Diceros bicornis minor: one gene and its partners. The protein of the gene in region 2 purifies or fractionates together with the protein of the main gene of each other region. This does not show direct contact. Links are inferred from orthologs where the notes say so. Each region holds a gene or a part of one and is shown on either strand. Other genes may lie near its edges. The genes, in order: CHM, RAB5A and RABGGTA.

Region 1 (7,831 bases), on a different chromosome or scaffold from region 2:
CATTCCGATATTATCACATAGCTCTTGTCATTTCCATCTTGCCTGCCCTTCTACTGAGTTGTTGGCTCTGCTGCAGATTACACAGGTCGCCAGATAAGTCACCTCGGGTGATGTGTTATGTTACTGGGACTATTTTTAACCTGAAGCCAACGACACTTCTCTACAACCCACAAAACTATCATTCAAATCTTTTTAAATGACAAAATGTCTTTAAAATGACAATTGTGTACCCAAACTGAAGGCCACTTTGTAGACACTTATCACATATCCATTTGTGTCTTCTCCCTTAAGACTCAGTTGACCCTCCTTCCTTATTCCATTTTATTCCATATTTTCCATGGTTCAAGTACTTTATCTTATTCCTCTGCCTTTGGGTGTCTGAGAGAGATTTCCTGCATTTTGTAATCAAGAGGAAATGTGCTTAACTAAGAAAAGACACACAAAACTTTATTTTCTCATAATCTCTTCAAAACATGATCTTCAGGAAAATCTTGTTATGAAAAATGAAAAGAAATATATTAATTAAGGTCAAAGGGATCTAAAATATTATCCAGAGATTTTACTGATGAAGCAACTGTCTTGATGACATTTTAACTAGAACTAAATCTGCTAAAAGAAAAATTACATCTCATAGCCTATTTCTTCATGTTTCTGATACATGCATGATTAATTATGCTTTTGTTGGTAAAACTGAATCTACGAAACACTGCTTTTCTTATGATTTACTCAAGTTAGTACATTTAGTAAAGCAAACACGTTTTAACGGCTACTTTCAGCAAACTATTTCAGAAGAGAAATAGTCCAAACACATTAAAAATAATTCCAATTAAGTAATGATTGGAATTATTGGAATCATTTATTTGGGAAATGACTTTCATCCAATTTTTCCAATGTGACGAACCTAAAAACAAAGCTCCATATCATAAATTTAAGCAATGTGCTTGATAAACTCGGAATGTGTTCAACATGGAGTGATATGAAAACCTTAACTTTTAAGATCAACTTCAAATAACTTCTTCCCATGCTTTGAGAAACTACGTTACTCTCACTGGAATAAGTCTAAAATGAATCTTTTTCCAAATACACGAGATGCCTCTTGAAGCCATTTTCTGTATCACTCACAGTATCTTCCTACCTCTATTATAACAGACTCCAATGGAATGGCTGTAGTCCATATTATGAACAGAACCAGAAGGCAAAATTTATTATAAGAATTAACAGCATTTAATAATAAGAATTAGCACTCATCAATTAAAACTTGAATCCAGATAACAAAAAAGTCTCAATGGTTCAAAAAAAATTTTAAAACACCCCAAATTCCTAGGTAATAAAAAAGAAAGGCAATAATATAGATCCCAAGTATGGTATAACAACTATTCTAAAATGGATGTTGTTCTTAGTTTTAGGATAGACTGGATAAAATAAGAGAATAGTCTATTGGTTCCTTCCAGCTCTCATCCAACATCTGTATATAGCAGCTACAGCCAGGTTATCTGCACCCATGCAGTTTTCAGGTTGGGAATAAACATGTCCTCGCTGTTCTGAGAACAATTACCCAGGTGCAACCAGAACAAGAGAATTTTTGGTCAGACAACATCTAAAAGGCTATCTAGTTGACCCTCCCTATATTCAAAAACAAGAAAACTAAGACTCAGAGATTAAGTGCCTAGTCCTAGCAATTCACACAGCTAGTTAATGGCCAAGCATGGTCTAGAACAAAGTTTTCCCAATTATTTCTACTCATATGGGTTAACTCTGAGGGTCAAAACCACTGTTTCTCCTAGAATGGAATGGGCCTTTGGAAATTTACCAGCTGTGTGATCTTGAGCAAACTGCAACATTTCTAAGCTCCCTTTTCCTTTTCTGTAAAGTGTAGAGAATACCTACTCTAACAACGCTGTTGTGAGGATTACATACGGCTTGTAGAGTGCTTAGCACATAGATTAGCAAACAATAAGCATTCAAACAGGTAGCTATTATTTTTACTCCCGCCCTGGTAACATGGCTGCTCCTACTGTTTGAGAGGACAACGAACTAAACTCATGAACACAATGGTCAGGGTCTCATCCACCAGACCCTCTCCGGCCTACCACATTCTGCAGACAGGAGAAAACTCCACCCAACAACCTATTTCATCCCATCTAAAATCCACTCTACACTGTTAAGAAAAACAAAATACCAATTGCTGCCAAATGTCTTCTGCCACGAGTTGTACGTGGAATTTGTCAACTAGAAATTGCTGGGGGTTTCTGACACCACCCAAAACATGGAAAATAAACGATGGGAAAACAAGGGAAAGATAAGGTCACACACCTGAACTGGAACTAACAGCAGCTTGTTCTCAGCTCATTTCGTTGTGGGTAGACACGTGGGTGGTAGAAGGCAAAATGCCTTCTTTCAGCACCATAAAGCAGGAATAATGGCTACCTCAACAAAATACAATTCCCTAAGCTTCTCAACACAATAGAAAAGAATCCGTTTCCTCACCCCAGTGAATTAACACGCACAAGGGCAACAACTGAGCATCTTTCTCTGAAAACTGAGGATTAAGCTGTATCTGAGCTGCACTGCACCCTAGGATTATATAACTATATGAAAAATTCCTATGCAATGGCGAGACAAACTGATCGGGAATAGCACCTTGAAATCAACAAGGAGGGAATCATAATGTCATGCCAAAGGCGTCTCCACTGATATAATCCCGACCCTCCATTCTCATGACACTGCAAACCCACCTCCCTCTAAGTAAATTACAGGAATCACCCGCAGCAACCAACCTCAGCAATCGGCATCGACCAGATCGACCCCTACTCAAACGGCGCTAAGCACCGCGGGTCCAAGCCCCTCCCTGGAGCTGCAAAGTCCCGCGCTGATTCCAGACTACCTCACTTCCTTTCCGTCCTCCCTCCTATACTCGATCCTCGGCATTTCTCGCCAATCCTCGCCACTGACAGAGAAGGTAGGAACGAGATAGACTTCCTACACTTTGTCCGGGGAGTACCAGAGCCACACATACCCGTCCCTATTACGATCACATCAAACTCCGAAGGGAGATTATCCGCCATCTTGACAGGAAACGTGTCATGTGACTATTGCTTGTGGAAATGAGATCAAATTAGGCATTGCTTTGGTAGAAGGCGGAAGGGAAAACAGTGCATTCTGGGTATTGTAGTTCCTGGGTGGCAGGTCCAGGTAGGCGGCTACAGCATTATATTTGAAATGTTTAGGCGAATATTAAAAGCTCGATTCATTTTCCAGGCTGAGTGCAGTAGCACATTTAGCTTGGAGGTTTGGAGTAGAAAAAAGATGTAGATTTTTACTCCGATGAATGTGGGAAGACCTGGATACCCCTTGACAATGATGAAGCAAGAATTGCTAAGAGACACGGAGGGCGGAGTGAAATTGAAAGAGGATTGCTCTGTGAACAAAGGAAATTTTCATTCCAGCCTGGAGACTGTTTCCCCCAGTGTGTCTGTACTTTCTTTTTGGCCCGCGAGGCGTAATTTTTCACACAATACTTTCAAAATATATCCCGTACTTTTTTTGTCTGTGTGTCTCCCCAGTGAAAACTCACAAAAAAACCTCTCGCCCTAGTTTCGCCAGAATGGAACCCTTGCCGTGTCTGTATTTGTTCTAGTTAGTCCAAACAGCCACGCTGGCAATATATATTTGCAAAATTAGCCTTGCTTTACAGGAGGGAAAAACATATGAAAGCATAGTATTTGCTTGATAAGCGTTTATTGATTCTGAATCTGGTTTTCTATACATATACGAGAAGTCCGTACAAGATTCTCCTGATAAGCCACCGCAGAAATAATCAAGGTAAAATGGCCTTTATATTAAACTGATTGCATTTGATGAAGGGGCTTAGATTGTCTATGCGAAGCAGCTAACATAGCTCTCATAAGTATTTTCAAGGTCGGCCTCCTCCCACCCCCTCCCCCCACCACCCCCCGTCATTTAAAATGCTTTGCTGTCTGGCAATACCAAAGCAAAAAAGAAGGGAAGGGTGCGTGGGAGTGAGGAAGAGTACTTTTTTGATCCCAGAAATTCATTGTGTAGTTATTTTGCAAGAGTTTCAAAATAATTCAGAGAGAGAGTGCAGTAGTGGACCTTCCCTCACACCTCCTGTCCTCTGAGCTGTTTGTGGTCCCCCAGTCACACTGTTGTTCCTTCAGCATGGAATAATCTTCCCATTCTCTAGCTAACATTTATCCCCGAGATTCAGCTCGGCTTCCACCACCTCCTCCTTTTATCTCCTCCCTATATTGGGTTAAATTTCTCTATGTAGTGCTACCACTCTGTCATAAACTGCCATATTACACTGAAATTATTTGCGTTTATCTTGGTTCCTATACAGTACACATATCCCCAGACATACTCACAAAAATACACATCCAGATATACAGCGTTCTAAATTATAAGCCCCTGTATGATAAGGACTGTGCCTTATTTATCTTTTTACCCCCTGCATCTAACATAAACCTGGTGCAGAGTAGGGATTAAATAAGTGTTTGCTGAACTGAGCTTAGTTCTGACTTCTCTAATACATGGTAAGTACTATGGAGACAGGGACTTAAGTCTTCACCGTGATGTCTGCCAACTACTATGAGGTATCTTATATTCTGAAGATGCTCAATGCATGTTTGTTACTTTGCTGAAGTTCCATGAAAATTCTTAAAATTGTATTTTAATGGGTTTTTTTTGCCTCATTTCATTGCATTTTGCTATAATCATTAGCAACATTGTGCATGTTTCATTAATTTCTTTTATAGATTATCTTGTTATATTGAACAATTCTCTTGTGATATGGTCCTCTGATGAATATTTTGTGTAAAAGAGATTCCTCTGAGAAGTGTAATATATTGTTCAGTAAACCACTCTGCCATTTGCTTTGATATGAAAAGAAAGTTTTGAGTATTATCAAAAGTGAAATAGATCTTATCTGTGAGACTCTTAACACCACCAGTGAAAATGGAAATTAAAGATTTCCCAAGGTAGACACAAGAAAGTTTCCAAAATCTCCTCTAACAGAGAGAAGCCATAGATGGGTGGTTAGAAGCATGATAAATAAAAGTATTTCTATCTTATTTTGGAGATATATGTGTATACATGTGTACGTGTATATATATATATATCCTTTTCGATATGAGTATATCTAACTTTCTATGGATTCAGAAATTTTCTAACAAATGCAATCACACTGTGAAGACACAACTCATTAAATTCATTCAATTTTCCTCAAATATTTATTGAATACCTACTATGTGCAAGGCACTGATTTAGACACTGGGATTACAGGAATGAACCTAAAAGACAAAAATCTCTGTCTTCATGAAGTTTATATCTAGTGAAGTAAAAAACAAAAATAAACAAGTGATTACTCCGTAGTACTAATTTTCCAATATGTTTTGCCCCAAATTTGAATTCCCTTTTTTCTGAGGCTGGAAAGCACAACTCTCAGAAAGATAAAATTGCCAGCCCATATTTAGCTTCCTTTCTCTAAAGTTATCACACACTCGCTGGGCATGGAAAAGATTATTACATTAGAAAAATTTAAAGCCTCTGCATGGAGAAAATGCTCAAAATACCTTTTCTTTCAAATGTATTTTTGTAGATTTTTTGCAAAGTAAACATAAATATAGGAGTTGATAATATCAGTAAAATATCATAAAGCAAAACAACTTAATTTCTATATATTCTATTATTCTAAGGACATCTATTTTTGAGAACTGAAATATTTTATTTGGATAAGTCACAGTACAATAAGATGATGGATACCTACAAATATACTACCCTATTCAATCACTGTGACACTAATTTTGTACTTGATTTCCTGAGTTGAAAAACCACGATTCTATGAACATTTACCTTGTATTTAGAAGTTTACTCAACTGTGGGATCTGATGTATCATCGTTTACAAACCAGTAATTTAATAGTCTCTATCCCTGGCCTTTCCTTTGAGTTCCAGATCCATATACACAACCCCTTACTCAACATCTCTTCTGAACGTGTTGAATACTGAACTCCTGAACAGTTCAACCCCGCTCCCAAACCTCTTTTTCCAATGTTATTTACCTTGGAAATGGTACCACTTTCTAGTCAGTTAGCTCAAGTCAAAAACTTAAGAAAATTATCCTTGATATATCACTCTATTTCACCTTTAAGCCAATTAATCAGCAACTCTTGCAGATTTATCTCAAAGCTATATTGTAAATATATCTACTTCTCAATCTAGACTGCCCCATAATCTCTTACCTAGACTACGACAGGAGGTCTCAGCTAGAGCCCTTATTCATGCTTGCTTCTCTCCAGTCCGCTCTCCACACTGCAGGTAAACTTTTAAAAATTCAAATCTTATCATGTCCTCCTCTACCTAAAGCCTTCGTGATTTCCCATTGCTCCTAAAATATACTCCAAAATTTTAAACATGGTCTAAAAGACCCTGCTGAACTCTGCAGTCTCATCTCATACCTCTCACCCTTCTCTCTCTAAGCTCCAGCCATATTGGCTCTCCTTCGTTTCCTCTAATACCCCATGCTCCTTCCTGCTTCAGGGACTTCAGAAATGCTCTTCCGTGTGCCTGAGGTGCACTTTTATCCTTCTTCCCCCTTTCTCCTAGCTTAATCCTACTCATGTTGCAGTTCGTTCAAAACATCACATACTCTGCTGTCTGCATTGAGTCCTCAGTCTACCTTAGGTCTCCTATCACCCTGTACTACTCCTTTGTTGAACTTTTCATAATTGAAAATATAAAATCACTTATGCAATTACTTGTTTCATATCTGCCATCTTCCTAGAAGGTAAGTTCCACAAAGGCAAGGACTGTGCCTATATTATTCATCGTTATATTCCCAATACATCATTCGGTGCCTGGCACATAATAGGCACTCAAAATATCCACTGAAATCCTACTTCTGGGTATATATTCAAAGCAAATAAAATCACTATCTTGAAGAGATATCTGCAGTCCCCTGTTCATTGCAGCCTTATTCGCAGTAGCCAAGATATGGAAACAGCTTGTGTTCATCGACAGATGAATGGATAAAGAAAATGTGATGTATAGATATATAGATATATATCTATATATGGAATATTATTCAGCCTGTAAAAAGAAGGAAGTCCTACCATTTGCAACAACATGGATGAATCTGGAAAACATTATGCTAAGTGAAATAAGCCAGACACAGAATGACAAATATTGCATGATCTCACTAATATGTGGAATCTAAAAAAAAAAAATTTAAGTCAACCTTATAGTAACAGAGAGTAGAATGGTGGTTACTAGAGGCTGTGCGTTTGGGGAAAAGGGGAGATATTGATCAAAGGGTTCAAAATTTCAGTTATAAGTTGAATAAGTTCTAGATACCTAATGTACAGCATGATGACTATAGTCAATAATAATGTATTGTATACATGAAATTTGCTAAGATTGTAGGTCTCAAGTGTTCTCACCACACAAAAAAATGGTAACTATGGGAGGTGATAGATATGTTAATTAGTTTGATTGTGGTAATCATTTCACACTGTATACATATATCAAAACATCACATTATACACCTTAAATATATATAATTTTTACTTGTCAAAAAAATAAGTTTTTTGAAAAGCTGCTGAATGGACGGATGAATAATAAAGTATAGGAAATCTTCAGGAAACAACACATTAGTACTTCTAAATGGGAATAACATGAGTTGATTGCCCAGTAAACTTGTTTCATCAGCTGGTTTTGTGTTTGTAATTGAACAAGTAATACGCATGTGGTTAATAAGTCAGCAAAAAGCTCATACAAAGACTAGAAAGACTAATAAATCTCCATACCCTCCCTGC
Region 2 (7,858 bases):
TCCTTCAAGGGCACTCATCTCTAAGGGGAAAGCTGTACCTGGCTCGAGGGAAGTTCCCAATTCCTTGAGGGGGCCCAACTCTCACGAAAGAGCACATCTCCACTCGAACTCCCTGCCCGCTACTTAACACCTAGCGAAGCTCACAGGGAAAACGGAGCTGGAGGTCTGTTTACCCGGTTACCTGGGAAACAGGGGCGTCGCTTGGCGTGCAATTCTCTCTCCCGAGCAGATCCCCGCCCATCTCTTCCTCTTTCTCTTCCGTCCGTTTCTCTCTCTCCTCTTCTCCCTTTCCTCTCTGTCTCCCTCTTTCTCTCTCTCCCTCTCTCTCATTCTGTCACTTTTCCCCCCTTCTTTACCAGATTTGGAGATCAAGAAAACTTGAAGGATGTGGTCTTCGGCACTAGAGCAAATGCTCACCAACTTCTCTCTAGTTTCCCAAGCAATGCAATCCTCTTAGGATGGGTTCATCCATGGGCTTCCTCCTGGCCGGTGGCCGATTCATTTTACCGGTGATCAGGGAATAAATAACCCTTTTTCTGGTGGTGGCCACTAATTTTAGGTCCTTCCTTGTGCAAGTACATGTACACTGCATGTAGTTTAAAAGCCCTAAAAAACTACTTTAAATTCTGTAAAGTTATATTTGGCAGCTGTGGTATAGAAACATGTTCAAATCTGTGAGAACACATACTTTAATAACTAGCCTTTAAATATCATTTAAAGTAAATATATTAAAGTTTGAGATGTGTTACACAATAATGCATACTGAATTTTTAAAATATTGTGGCAAATTCAAACTTAATGTTTTTAAGTATGAGATTTTCTTTAAATTGGGGTTACACCTCTGTCAGGTTTTAATGAGAGCGTGTTTGGTGAATATTTGTCATGTTCTATACATACAGGAGACATAGAACACCTAGTTTAGAATTTGAATGGAATTTATGGGAATCCAATTTTTTTAAGAACTCTATGAAAAACTTAAAATCCAAAAATTTTAAAAGTGATAAGGATACTATTTCACATTTGTAAAAACCGTGTAATTTTCTAGATAGTTAATATAAATATTCTTCTCACCCTAATCACTTTAAATGACTTGATAGTGTATAAATCAAGGTATGTTTGTATAAGAGTTCATTCAATTCTTTCATTTTACAAATAGCTATTGAGTCCCTACCTTGTGTCAGTGCTCGGAATACAGTGGAATATAAGCCAATCCTTATCTCATGGAATTTATATTCTAGTGGGTATAAGTAACCATCAAGTAAACCAATAAATAAGATCATTTCACATAGTGATAAGTGTTATGAAGAAAACAATGCTTTGATGTAAAGGGAAGCTACTTTAGAATTGGGGGGCTTAGAAGTCCCTTAGGTAGGTGACATTTGAGCTTGCATGATGCCCTGCAGAGACATGCTTTTTAAACATGACTAGCTCAAGTTTCCACAGCATTTTTCTCAGCGTCTTGTCATCATGCCTACGATTCTTTATGTTAGAATTACCTTTTGGTTTGTCTCCAGTCAAAATGTTACCATTCCTTACCACCGAGGCAAAGACTCATTCTTCAACTACACAATGGAGGAAAGATTTCCTGGAAGGGAAAGTAGAAGATAGGGGGTGCAGTGGATGATTGAGAGATGCAAACTGCTGGGAATTTGTGAGTGGGTGTTTAGAGATTTGAGGGCAAAGGAAGCACTAAGAACAGTGTTCAAGTCTTTATGACTTTATTTAGGGCCCATCCATTTTATAGTTAGTCTATCAACAAGTAGGATCCCACATTTCCCACTAAAATATATACAATTATCAGTCCTCAGTCATCTGGAGTTAGGAAAAAACACAGGCATATTGTGAGTGGCAATACAAGAGCAAAGCTTACTGTGGCATTTCAATCTCTCCAAAATTACCACAGGATTCTAGAGGTGCTAGCCACTGGAGCAGCACCCTCCCAAGCAAACACTATGACTAAACAATAAAATATAGTGGAATGTATTCATGAAGGAGGTGAATTAAAAGATAAAATTGGTAGAAAGAAATGAATGAGGAAGCAATATCCTAGAACAATGAAATGGGAAGTTTCCAGCAATTTACAAATTTCAGCATCCATGTGTTATTTGTTAGGTCTTCTTAAGTCATACGTTCACCATTCTAAATGTAATTAAGTTCACCAATATTTTTGGGGTCCCTATTATATGAATCAAAGGTCCTCTGGAGGAATTGACGATTAAATTATGGTCCAAGCCCTCAAGAACTTTAAAATCCTAATGGGAATGAAAGTCTAAGGAGAAAAGTCTAGGCACTCTCTAACTGTAAAATAAGGCAGATATTAGAACCATTATAGACAGTAAGGCAAAGTATCATGAAACTATAGGAAAAAGATAACTAAATCCAGTGGAAGTATCATCAGATGTGGTCCAGAGGAGTTGGCATCCTGGCTAAGGTGAGACCTGCAGTGACAGGCAGTAATGGTGTTCCAAGTGGAGAAAACAAAGCGATCAAAGACACCAAGATGAGAACACACAAGCAACATTCTGGGAACACAGAGTAGACTGGTATGATTAGGGCACAAAGCAGGAGTTTGGGATAGAGGGAGGCTACAGAAACAGAATGAAAGAAATGTGGGTTGGGACTAGAGTTGAAGAACTTTGGACTGTATTTAGCAAGTAATGAGATAGCATTGAACATTTTTGAGTAGGAGAGTGACTGGCTACAGCATAAAGAACGGATAGAAGAGGCAGGAGCATGTATTAATTCCAGTTTATATGAATACTATCAGGGCCCAGGCTTTGGGATTACATCTCAGATTTAGGGATTAGAGAATTTTGGGTGATAGAATGGACAACGGTTTAAGAGGGAAAAAAGGACGAGTTGAAGATGATTCTGCTCTTTCAAGCCCATGTGACTGGGAGGCTATTAATACCAGTCACCAAGCAGAAGCAGGTTTGGGGTGGAATAGGTTTGGTTTTGGACATACTGTTGACATGCCAAAACTGATGTGACATATCCTATTTCCTGATTCTTCCTAGGATTGTCCCAGAGGTATTACCATGACTAACACATCATATTGGAACAACCCCTGGGGATAAAGTGCTACAGATACCACTTATGTATGACACATTATGCTCTTCTGGTTAGTAACTAGGGAGTTGATCTGAAAGACTGGCTATTCAAGGGTTTAAATCATCTTCATTACATAATGTTGACTGAGCACCAACAAGATACCTTACCCCAAGTACACATAGTAGACAATCCATATCGATGTCCTCACAACAGGGCTATAAACGGTAAACTGCACATTGAAAAGTAGCCCTTATCCTGAGGGAAAATCAATTTAACATTCTACCAAGTTACAAAACGAATTTTTGTTTTGTTTTGTTTTGTTTCAGATGCCTGGTCAGAGACTGTCTATCGTGTGAGATTTAACCAAAGAAGCCTGTCTTATATAGGTCTCCAGTGGAGGATAATTAATGGCTTGTTTTTCACTGCAGTCGTGCTTAAGCACTCAGGTTCTGGAGCCAGCCTGCAGGTTAGAATGCAATTTCATCACCAACTCCGCGATGATTTTGCACAAATTACTCAATCTCTGTGCCTCAAATTCTTTACCTGTAAAACAGGCACGCCTCATTGACTAATTCCACAACCATGACTTAAGACTCCTGGCTGCCAGGCACTGTGCTAATCAGACAGCGGTGAGGACCACTTTGGGGAGTTAACATTCTAATGCAGGGAGGCAGACGATGAAGTTAGTTTCAGAGTGAAAGCTTCATGGTGTAAGAATAAAATGGGATAATTCCTGTAAAGTGCAGGACCCGTGAAGGGAAACTCTGAATGAAGTTAGCTATTATTCTAGGATTTGCCCCTCCCCACCAAAAACAAGTAAACTCGCAATAAAAGCATGTTATTACTTTAAGACTTCCCCGCCTAAAGACAACTTTTGGGATGGGGAGGGTCTCATCCTCCTCCCCGCAGTAAACACCACTTACCGGCCCTGACCGACCCAACCATCCACAGGGACACGCTGGGGGGCTCTCTCGTGGTAGAAAAGTCCCCTCAAAAAAGCCCCTTAGGCGAGTTACCAGGGTTGGGATGTCGCGGGGTAGGGTACGGGGAACTGTGAGCTCATATACACAGAGGGAACTTCGCCGCCCCACGTACGCTGGAAGCAACAAACCCAAGATCTCTGGGGCTTCCCCGAAAGCTAGGCGGTAATGGAGTTTCCCCCCCGCCCCTCCCGCCAGGAGGCCAAGACCGCCGTCCAGATAACAATGGCGCCGGCGGGGGCGGGGCCGCGCGCGCCTCGGGTGAGGGAGGGAGGAGGGAGGCGGCGGGATCCGAGCCCACTGCCCGGGAGTCACGTGACAAGCCCCGCCCCGCGAACTGGCCCCCGCTGGGAGGGCTTTGAGAGGGGCGGGGCAACGGTTGGAGCGGTCGGACAGGTGACGACCGGAAGTGACGAAGGGGCGTAGTTCGCTACGTGCAGCGACGTGGCGGCGAGGTCGGCGCCGGGCGGCGGAAGTGGCTCCCGCGCTGGGACTTGAGTGTTTGTGTTTTGGTTTGCGAAGGACCCGGCGGCCGGCCTGTGGGGAGGAGGCAGAGGAGGGAGGAGGAGGAAGAGTTAGTCGGAACTCGAGCGCCGGCGGCGGCGGTGGCGGTGGCGACGGCGGCGGAGGAGAAAGGAAAGAGGAAGGCGGAGCGGAGAGAGGCGGAGACGGAGCCCGACGGGGGCGGCACCACGGCACGAGCACCGCACCGTCCAGTCTAAGGGGAGCAGCGCGAGGAGACGCGCCGCCGCCAAAGCCACAGCCTCGGCCTCCTCTCGGGACACGCCTGTGACCTGCTGCCGGGAAGCTTCAGCCCCGCGGCTCCGCGTGCTGCGGCCTCAGGTAACCAGACCGTCCCTCGCCCTGCCCACAGCGGGCCGGGACCCCGGGTTCTTCGCGGTCCCCAGTCTGTCCGCGGCCCTGCCGGCCCCGAGCCCCCCGCCCCTTCTCCCTCGCGCGCGCGGGTGTCCTGGACCGGAGTGCTGTCGAACCCGGCGTCTCGTCCTGCCGGCCTGGTGACTCATCCTTCAAGGGGCTCTGGAGACCAGGATTTGGGGACTGGCTGCGGGAGCGACGGGTGTCACCCTCTTCCCTTCTCAAGATGGCGCCGTGAAAGAGTATTGGAGGCCGCGGTCCCGCCTGGCTCCTGCCCTGGCAGCCCTGGGGGGTCCCAGCCAGAGCCAGGCCAGGTTCAGGGGAGGAGAATGGGAATGATGGCCAGGGGGCCTGGCGGATCCTGCTCGTTCAGGCGATCCGGAGTTTGGTGTCAGTTGCTCAGGTGATCTCCAAGGAGGCACCGGGGCCTACGGCAGGTGTGAATTTGGGGAGCTCCGCCTGCCTTCGACTTCCAGAGATGGCTAATGGAGGGAGGAGGAGGAGGCTCGTCAAAATAGGCTGTCTAGAGACTCTTGTCTCATCTATGGAAGGTGGTGAACCGCAGCTTTGAAGAACTCAAGACAGCTAGGCCGCTGAACACCCTCAGTGGGTAGAGACCATTAAACCTGCTCTGCTGTTCTCTTTCCTGGAAGCTGCTTACCCCCCTGAGACTTTTTAAGCTCTGAACGTCGTAATTCACATATTTGGTTTTTGTCTTTTGCTTAAGTGGAGTCACAGTGTTGAATCAGTTGGTTTTCGCATAACTAGTAGGAAAAAAACACGTATACACCATTGATAATTCAGGACAGCTCACAAACTTTATTCATAATGTAAAATGGGGATAATCATATAAGCTCATAGGGTTGTTGTAAGCAAAATTCATAGAATAGTGCTTGGCACAGAAGTATCTAGTAAATGTTTGCTGCTATTAAAGCAATTTTAATCAAAGAGCACCCAGAAGGACTTTAACTATAGAATACCAGTTATTTTCAAAAGATTAAAAATGCGTTTTATGGAAAATCTTGTTTTGCAAAATAGAGAAGTTTCAATAGTGAATACAAATGTGCGTTTTTTAACTGTAATGTTATGCTAACTATATATGTATAGTTAAATTTATTTTCTGTTTGAGAGCCTTAGGAGGAACCATAATCCAATAGCTTTAAACCTTAAAAGGCAAAGCTAATTCGTAATTTTTTTTAATGGGAATCTGATGTTTTCCCTGAAATTTTGGAAGTACCATGGAAATTCGGAGTATATTGTCCTTGATGAGTAATTTAGTTTACTGTTTGTAGGTAATCAGACAATTGGGAAGTGTTTCAATTGCTGTTCTATGTAATCTAAAGGTGTGTTGGTGCATTTTCATCTACGTGACATTCTGTTGATATTTGCTCATTATCTCATCAACGGTCCACTTTAATTGCCAATTTTCAATCCCTACTATGTGTTGACCACTGTATTGGAGAGTTTTTACATATATTCTCTCATTTAATTCTCACAGCAGCTATGTAAGTTAGGTATTCTGGAAGTAGAGATTTGGAAATGAAAGCACTTGTTCCAGCAGAAATTGGTATAGCCAGCCAGGATTGTATCCCCAAATCTGGTGTGTTTTGAAGGGGATGGGAGGATAGATATGGGGGTTGTAGCGTTTTTTCATTATGGAAAATTTTTTAAATATTCAGAGGTAGGGAGGATAGTGCAATGAACCTGTCACCTGACTTCAATTATCTTATGGCCAGTCTTGTTTTATTTACATTCCCATTGTTTGGAAGCAACTCAGACATATCATTTCACCTGTTAAGTATTTTGGTATGTATTACTAAAAGATAAGGACTCTTCAAAGCTGCTGTTTAGATGAGGCAGAGGTGATTTTATTGTCTCGAGAATGTAAGGCCTCATGGATAGGTTTATTAATGAATTCATGGTCAAGAGGAATTCTTGTATAAACTCATTTCGTGGGGAAGGCAAATTTGCTTATATCAGGTTCCTAAATGAAACATAACAGTGATTTTAGGGAGAGAATCATCAGATTTAATATTATTAGTAAGCCCATGATCAGATTTTGATTAAAGATAGGAGAAAACTATTATGATTGGTTTGTGAATGGATTGGAAAAGAGTTCTTTAAATGTTTACTAATTTCTTTGAGATTGAAAATTAGCGTTATTAGATAATGATAAGAGAAGACACACAAGTTGCCATTCCGGCTAGTTTCTTCTAAATGTGTTAAATACAAAATAATGACATAGCCCCAAAACTACAGAAAAGTATAAGTAAATAAGACACTAATAAGCTCACCACATAAGAGAACCATGGTTATCATTTGCCTGTATGATGTACTTGAGCACATGAGGAAACAATTCTGTCTTATAGCCACTAGACACAAACTTGGGAGCCTTTAAATATTTGTTGCTCCAAAATTACCATTAATTAAACAAAGAACATGTACCATTTATTTTATTTATATATGTTTTTTTAGGAAGATCAGCCCTGAGCTAACATCCATGCTAATCCTCCTCTTTTTGCTGAGGAATACTGGCTCTGAGCTAACATCTATTGCCAGTCCTCCTGCTTTTTTTTCCCCAAAGCCCCACTAGATAGTCGTACGTTATAGCTGCACATCCTTCTAGTTGCTGTATGTGGGACGCGGCCTCAGCATGGCCAGAGAAGCGGTGCGTCGGTGCGCGCCTAGGATCCGGACCCGGGCCGCCAGTAGCGGAGCGCACGCACTTAACCGCTAAGCCACGGGGCGACCTGAACGTGTACCATTTAACGGAGGCCTTCAGATTATAATGGCCAACATTTATTGAGTTCTTACTCTGTTCTAGGATCTGTTCTACTTATTAACATAATTTTCCTCAAAACTGCTTTAACCCATGTAGTCTGGCTCCAGAACCTGAACTCTTGAGTCACCTCTCGGGTCTCCTGGCTTTGAAACTCAACTCTATCACAGTA
Region 3 (6,963 bases), on a different chromosome or scaffold from region 2:
GAAGTTCAAGTTCGAGCCTCTGGCAATGGCCACGCTCACCTGTGCGGTGGACAGACACCCAGGCTTTGGTTTGAATTCTGGCTGTGTTTCCTCCCAGCTGTGTGACATTGGGCAAGCAACTTATCCTCTGTGAACCCACTGTATGCATTGTTTCCTCACTGTAAAATATGGATAATAATACCTACCTCATAGAGGTAGTGAGTGCGTTAAATAAGATGTCTGGGGCTCAGTCAGTACTCAATTATTGCTTGTTCCTTTCTCTACATAGGAGGCAGTAAAATCCCTTCCTCAAACATCATTCAGATCATGGCCCTCAGACACCTGCCTGGTTCCCACTTATTCCATACAGGCGGCCAAATATAACTCCTGACAGCTCCTTTTGCCTTAAAGCAAGAGGCTCGTCATTGGTTCCATTGCTCTTATCTCCAAAGGCACCTGGCTCAGCTTCTGTCTGCCAGCCAGCTGAGTCTGTTTGGCTTTCTCTCCCCAACCTCCACGTCATCATTCACGCCTGAAATGCCCTTCCCGCCCTCTTTTTCCAAAACCAGGCCCTTCATTCTCTGAAACAGATTTCTTCATGAGACTCACTTCCTCTCTTAAGCTTGCTTGACTCAGCTTCCCTGGTTTCAAGATTGCTAATCACTGAAAAATATTTCCTGTCTACTTCAGCCTTTATCCCCCGCTCCCTCCTCCCTTAGTGACTATGATGTAAGACTGTTCTTGGGAAATCTACACCTGTGGGAATCTACATTCCCAGGTATCTGGTTGTACATGTGATTGTTATAGAGCAGGAAGCAAGAGCAAGCGGTGACCAAAAAAAAAAAAGCAGTTGGTGAGGTGGGAGGGCTGGACCAGAGCAGCCACAGGTCCCATTTGGCCACTTACTACATGGGTGGCCCTCAGCAAGTTACTGAACCTTTCTGACCCTCAATTTCCTTGTCACAAGATATTGTCACAAAGATCAGAAATAATATTATCATTACTACTATTACTATTTACCTAGCCTTTACTATCCTAAGCACTTTACATAGATTCTTTTATCTCATCTTCACTTCAACCCCGGCAGGTGGGTATTATTATTTTTTCTATGTTACTGTTTAAGCAACTAAGACACAGAGGAAACACAACACAGAGGTTAAGTACCTTACCCCTGGTCACAAAGCTAATAAGTGACAAAGCCAGGATCTGCACACAGGCAGCCAGGCTCCAGAGTCCACGTTCCTAACTACTCTGCTTCCTGCCTCCCACGTGTAATCCTGTGTGTGTGTAAAGCTCCTGACACAGTGCCGGGCACAAAGATAATAAAGCAGTGGTGTCATGCTTTGCTCACTGGGACTGCAGGTACACGAGGCCAGGAAAAGTGTCTCTTTTCCTCTGTACCCTGGTACAGGGCCTAGGAAAGGACAGAATAGAGGGTAGGCACTTTACACACATTTCCAGGGCCCGAGAAAGGTGTGGAAGAACTCTAAAGAATTTAAAGCCATACTTCCTCACCCGGATGTGAGTTATAAACATACACACACCACATGGACACACACGTCTCACAAATACATCACGCACACTCACACATACACATTCACTGGCCACCTTGAACCCCATGAAGGCTCCACCAGGAAACCTTCCTGAGCTGGTCCAGGCCACACGATCTCTCCCACCCCTGAATGCCAACAGCGCTCACTGTTAGGGCCAGCCAAGCCAGCCCTCACTATGTGGTGTTTTGTTTATTCATTCAAATAACTACTAGGAACCAGGGCCAGGTATTGCAGAGGCAAGACCAGAAAAGTGTTGTTTCTGCCCTAAAGGAACTTTGAATCTGATAGGAGATGCTGGCATACCACCCAAGACTTACAGTAGGCACGGGGAAATAAATCCTATCTTTGACAGCACATATGAAGGTCTTTTAAACCAGACTGGGGCATTTTGGAGAACTTCCTGGAGGTGACACTTGAGTTAAATCTTAAAGATGAACAGGAGTTACCCTGGCAAAGGAGGCGTGTGGAGGAAGGAGAGGCAAGAAGTGGGAACAGGTTAACATGTTTGGGAAACTACAAGTTGTTCTATCGGCTGTGATGAAGAGTTTTTAACAGGGACAGGCAGGACATGAGGCCAGAGGGGTAGGCAGGGCCCAAGCGCCAAAAGGCCTGATGTGCTAACCTGAGAGATTCAAGACTGTCCTGAAAAGCTCTCAGGAGCCGCGGAGGGCTTTTAGGCAGAGATGTGACATGATTGAATCTGCATTTTAGAAAGATCAATCCAGCAGCACAAAGGACGAACTGATAATAGAGGGGACAGGGTGTAGATGAGGGAACATTGAAAAGACTTTCAACAACCAGGAGAAGAAATGAGCTTCAATTCTTAGTGCACAGGGAAGGGAGAGGGCATTTAAGAGATAGTAAGGAAAAGTGAGGAGGGAATAGTGCCATTCACTGCAAGAGGAAAAGAAAAAGGCCAAAATTTAGACTGGATAGAAGGGAGACAATGATACCTTTTGACTTTCGGAGTTCAAGGCGTCTCTGGGACACCCAGGAGACAAGAGCTTCTCACATATTGAGGTATATGGGGTAACTATTGGGGTTCAAAACGGATTTGGCTTGAACTAAAAAGCCTGACTTATGGCCTATCAAACATACATTGTACATCTGCTTAATGATTAAAGTAAAGAATACACTTTCTTAAGACAAGAATGCATACTTCCCCTCCTAGGCCCTATTGGTAACGCCTGCATTGGTCCCTTTCCTGACATCACGGTCACGTTGACCTGCTAATTTGCAACTGGATACCTCTTTGAAATTTTGATGAAAACATATCCTGGGTGTGTTTAATGTACGTACTTTGTTCTAAAAAGATATAAGACTGTACTGAAAACCCCACTTCTCCGGAATGCTGTCTAAGGCCTTCCCGGGTTATAATCCTCACTCTGGCTCAAGTAAACTCACCTTATTTCTCTTATCTATAGAATGGTTATCGGTTATTTTGTGTCTATACAGGTGATATCTAACAGGCTTTTGAATATGTGTGGGCATATTTATAAAACATATACAACATATATATGAATATGTGTGTACATATCTATGTGTTCATTATTAAAGCTAGCAAGACATCTGGGCTGGAGATACAAGTTTGAGTGTCATCAGCTTACAGGCAGAAATTAAAACCGTGAGCGTGGGTGAAGTCACCCAGAGAAAGTGTGGGCCAGAAGACTTTTGTGGGCCCTGAGCTCTGGGGAGCTTCAACTCCAAGCAATTGAAGGCTTGCATTTGTGAACGTTCTCCCAGGAACAGCGTGTGAAATGAAAAGAGGATGAGGAAAAGGCCCTGGAGATCACCAACATGTAGGGCAAGAAAAGATGAAGAAAAGAGAAGAGAAGGGCAAAGGTGCACGAGGAGAAGCCAGAACAAGGTGTCAAGTCAAATAAGGCAGTAGCGTCAAATGCCCCAGAAGTCAAGGAAGATAAGGACAAGAAACTCCGTCAGTTAGATTTGGCAACTAGGAGGTGGCCACTCCGGCCAGAGTGAGGTCAATGGAGTGGGGAGGGCGTGGGTTTCCAGCTGTTGGAGAGATCTCTTCAACTAACTTGCACTTGGAGCAGAGAACTGGAATAGCAGCCCCGCAGCCTCCACGCGCGAGCCATACTCGCGCATGCGTACTCGTACACAGCAGAGGGCTAACGGGGACTTCGGGTTTTCGACAGCGCGCGCCGAGACCCCGCGCACGCGCCTCCGGAGCCCGCCTACTCCGCCGCGGGCCTCTCCCCAAGCCTGCAGAGGGCGCTGCACCTCGGAGAGCCGGGGCGTGGCGGCGCTCTAGCCAGCGGCTGGGCTCGGTGGCGGGCGCCGCAGCTCCGCGTCCCCCACGCCTCCTCCCAGCGCAGGTGGGTCCGCCCGCGAGGGGCGGGAGTGTCTGGGAGCCGTGGGGCGGGCGGGTAGCGGCAGCCTCTGGGCGCAGAGTGGTCCCCATCACCCAAGTGCCCCGGCTCGGGTCCGGCCCCAGCGGGTCGGGCTGTGGGCAGGGCCGCACGGGTACAAGTCCCATGCGGGTGGGAGAGCCTCCTCTTAGCCGTGCGGAGCCTGTTCCGGCACCCATTCACACCCCGGGGGGTGGGGGGGGTCTCCGCCGAGGCTCGCGTGGGGCTTCCGGGGGACAGCTGGAGGCGGGGCCGTCGGGGGCGGGGCTCCCATGATTGACACCTCTCTCCCCAGGTTTCCCGGGCTACCGCTGGACCCCTCCCCTGTCCTGAATCCTGAGCCGGCACCATGGTGAGAACCCTGAGCCCAACCCCTCGCCTTGGAATGCCGGTGCCCTCGCCCCGTTTGGCCTTGCCTCGGTTGCACTATATAAACCTGGGACTCCGCAGTGGGGGGTTCGGTGGGTCTGCCCTTGAAAGGCAGCCTGCACCCTTCCAACCCGCCCATCCCTTTAGCACGGGCGCCTGAAGGTGAAGACATCGGAAGAGCAAGCGGAGGCCAAAAGGCTAGAGCGGGAACAGAAGCTGAAGCTATACCAGTCAGCGACCCAGACGGTTTTCCAGAAGGTGGGGCCCTCAGAGGTAGCCCCCTCCCCAGGTGGCCTCCTTAGTATAGCACAGAGGCTGAGAGCTGGGCCTCAGAGTCAGACTGCCTGGATCCATATCTGGGTTCTATCACTTACTAACTTGTATGACCTTGGGCAAGTTACTGAATCTCTCTGGGCCTCAGTCTGCTCATTTGTAAAACGGGGCTAATAATTGCACTTACTGTGTAAGGCTGTTGTGAAAATTAAGTGAGAAAATACATGTAAACCCTTAAAGCACTTTGCATTGTACCTATTGTATAGTATGGGATTCACAGAATATTCGGTAGCTCTGTTTATGTTATTTAGCTCTGCAGTGGGAGAATGTTATGATCTCTGACCCTGCTACCCGTCTTCTCAGCGCCAGGCTGGGGAGCTGGATGAGTCCGTGCTGGAACTGACAAGCCAGATTCTGGGGGCCAACCCTGACTTTGCCACCCTCTGGAACTGTCGACGAGAGGTGCTCCAGCGGCTGGAGGCCCAGAAGTGCGTGGGGTTCAGTGCCCCAGGAAGGCAGCCCTGGCCCTGCCCCTGCCCTGCCTGGGTTCAAGGGTAGAGGAGGAGTGGGGCAGCCAGGGGCAGAGGCAGAGAGCAGTGGAGGGCTGGGTGTAGAAAGGCAGGGACAGCTGAAGGTGGGTGTTGGAGGGCCCTGACCTCCAGTCCCCTCTGGGTGCAGGTCCCCTGAGGAGCTGGCCGCTCTGGTGAAGGCAGAACTGGGCTTCCTGGAGAGCTGCCTGAGGGTGAACCCCAAGTCTTATGGTACTTGGCACCACCGCTGCTGGCTGCTGGGCCGCCTGCCAGAGCCCAACTGGGCCCGGGAGCTGGAACTGTGTGCCCGCTTCCTTGAGGTCGATGAGCGGAACTGTACGTGCCTGTTCTGTCCCCACAGCCCTCAGCTGCCCCACATCAGTAAGGCCCAGAGTGGGGAGGGATGGCCAGGATAGGCCCACTGAACTGGTGGCAGAAGGGATGGTAGAGCCAAATGCATCCTCCATGGAGTGCATAGGGGTGGAACGCTAGGGGTACCAGCCAGGGAGCTCCCCCTGCCCTGCTTCTGAGATGTGCTGTCACCCCTCCCCCCCAGTTCACTGCTGGGACTACCGGCGGTTTGTGGCTGCACAGGCAGCTGTGCCCCCTGCCGAGGAGCTAGCCTTCACTGACAGCCTCATCACCCGAAACTTCTCCAACTACTCCTCCTGGCATTACCGTTCCTGCCTCTTGCCCCAGCTGCACCCCCAGCCAGACTGTGGACCGCAGGGGCGCCTCCCCGAGGATGTTCTGCTCAAAGGTAAGCAGAGTCAGGGGTGCTGGGGATGACTCTGTAGCCCATCCTCCAGCCCTGAGGCCTAGCTCTGTTCCTGAACCTGCCTCTTGGGTTTATTGAACACCTACTTCATGCCTGGCTCTGGCGGTGCATAAGATTCAGCCCCTGGCTGCAGAGAGCATAAGTGTCCAATGGGGAAGATAAAACTGATGTATGCAGCCCCTGTGCAAGGCCAGCGTATACCTGAGCCTGAGGGCTGGAAGTGCTCCAAGGACAGGGTGGGATGTCCTGACCACAGCCCCGTGCCTCCTTGGCCCCTGCAGAGCTGGAGCTGGTGCAGAACGCCTTCTTCACTGACCCCAATGATCAGAGTGCCTGGTTCTACCACCGGTGGCTCCTGGGACGAGGTGAGCAATGGAGGAGGAGGCTGGGTGTTTAGGGCTTGGAAGGAATGGAAGAGTATTTACGGAGACCTGAGGCTGTGTCTTCCCCCAGCTGACTCCCAGGATGCCCTGCGCTGCCTGCACGTGAGCCGGGACGAGGCTTGTCTGACTGTCTCCTTCTCTCGGCCCCTCCTAGTGAGTCCTGCAGCTTTTGCTGGAGAGCATCCTGGATTGTGGGCCTGGTGCTGTTGGGCTGATGGGTCTCTCTTTGTCCCCTGTGCCAGGTGGGCTCCAGGATGGAGACCTTGCTGCTTATGGTGGATGAGTCGCCCCTGGCTGTGGAATGGAGGACCCCAGATGGCAGGAACCAGGCCAGCCATGTCTGGGTATCCTAGGATTGGTGGGGCATTGTGGGGGGCTGGGGCAGGGCTGGGGTGGGACAGTCAGAAAATGGTGAGGCCCGGGGTGTTTCCTTGACCCTGTGCTCCCAGCTCTGTGACCTTCCCGCTGCCTCTCTCAACGACCAGCTGCCCCAGCATACATTTCATGTCATTTGGACAGCAGGCGATGCCCAGAAGGAGTGTGTGCTTTTAAAAGGTGATGCGACCTGCACTCTGCACCCCTTGCAGCAGCCCCCCTCCCTCCCCTCCTCTCATGGCGTCCCCTCCCCCCACCTCCTCTTTCTCTCAGGCCGCCAGGAGGCCTGGTGCCGGGACTCGGCCACAGACGAGCAGCTCTTCAGGTGATGACAGGGAAGCACACGGACAA

Evidence for each region.
Region 1: the proteins of RAB5A (region 2) and CHM purify together in Homo sapiens (affinity purification with mass spectrometry; 3 studies listed by BioGRID and IntAct, counting the BioPlex papers as one, with this or other methods). This does not show direct contact. The link is inferred for Diceros bicornis minor from reciprocal best matches to the Homo sapiens genes RAB5A and CHM.
Region 3: the proteins of RAB5A (region 2) and RABGGTA purify together in Homo sapiens (affinity purification with mass spectrometry; 3 studies listed by BioGRID and IntAct, counting the BioPlex papers as one, with this or other methods). This does not show direct contact. The link is inferred for Diceros bicornis minor from reciprocal best matches to the Homo sapiens genes RAB5A and RABGGTA.

What each region holds. Positions count from the first base shown.
Region 1 is NC_080781.1:78,471,856-78,479,686, forward strand, and holds the start of CHM (rab proteins geranylgeranyltransferase component A 1), read right to left. Parts: upstream 3,069-7,831; 5' UTR 3,066-3,068; coding exon 3,017-3,065; intron 1-3,016. UniProt on the Homo sapiens protein: Substrate-binding subunit of the Rab geranylgeranyltransferase (GGTase) complex.
Region 2 is NC_080741.1:25,754,028-25,761,885, forward strand, and holds the start of RAB5A (ras-related protein Rab-5A), read left to right. Parts: upstream 1-4,788; 5' UTR 4,789-4,874; intron 4,875-7,858. Other genes in the region: EFHB (EF-hand domain-containing family member B), read right to left, coding at 1-18. UniProt on the Homo sapiens protein: The small GTPases Rab are key regulators of intracellular membrane trafficking, from the formation of transport vesicles to their fusion with membranes.
Region 3 is NC_080744.1:23,743,451-23,750,413, forward strand, and holds the start of RABGGTA (geranylgeranyl transferase type-2 subunit alpha), read left to right. Parts: upstream 1-3,949; 5' UTR 3,950-4,019; intron 4,020-4,199; 5' UTR 4,200-4,253; coding exon 4,254-4,256; intron 4,257-4,420; coding exon 4,421-4,531; intron 4,532-4,909; coding exon 4,910-5,034; intron 5,035-5,224; coding exon 5,225-5,412; intron 5,413-5,632; coding exon 5,633-5,836; intron 5,837-6,135; coding exon 6,136-6,219; intron 6,220-6,307; coding exon 6,308-6,390; intron 6,391-6,479; coding exon 6,480-6,581; intron 6,582-6,686; coding exon 6,687-6,792; intron 6,793-6,885; coding exon 6,886-6,937; intron 6,938-6,963. UniProt on the Homo sapiens protein: Catalyzes the transfer of a geranylgeranyl moiety from geranylgeranyl diphosphate to both cysteines of Rab proteins with the C-terminal sequence -XXCC, -XCXC and -CCXX, such as RAB1A, RAB3A, RAB5A and RAB7A.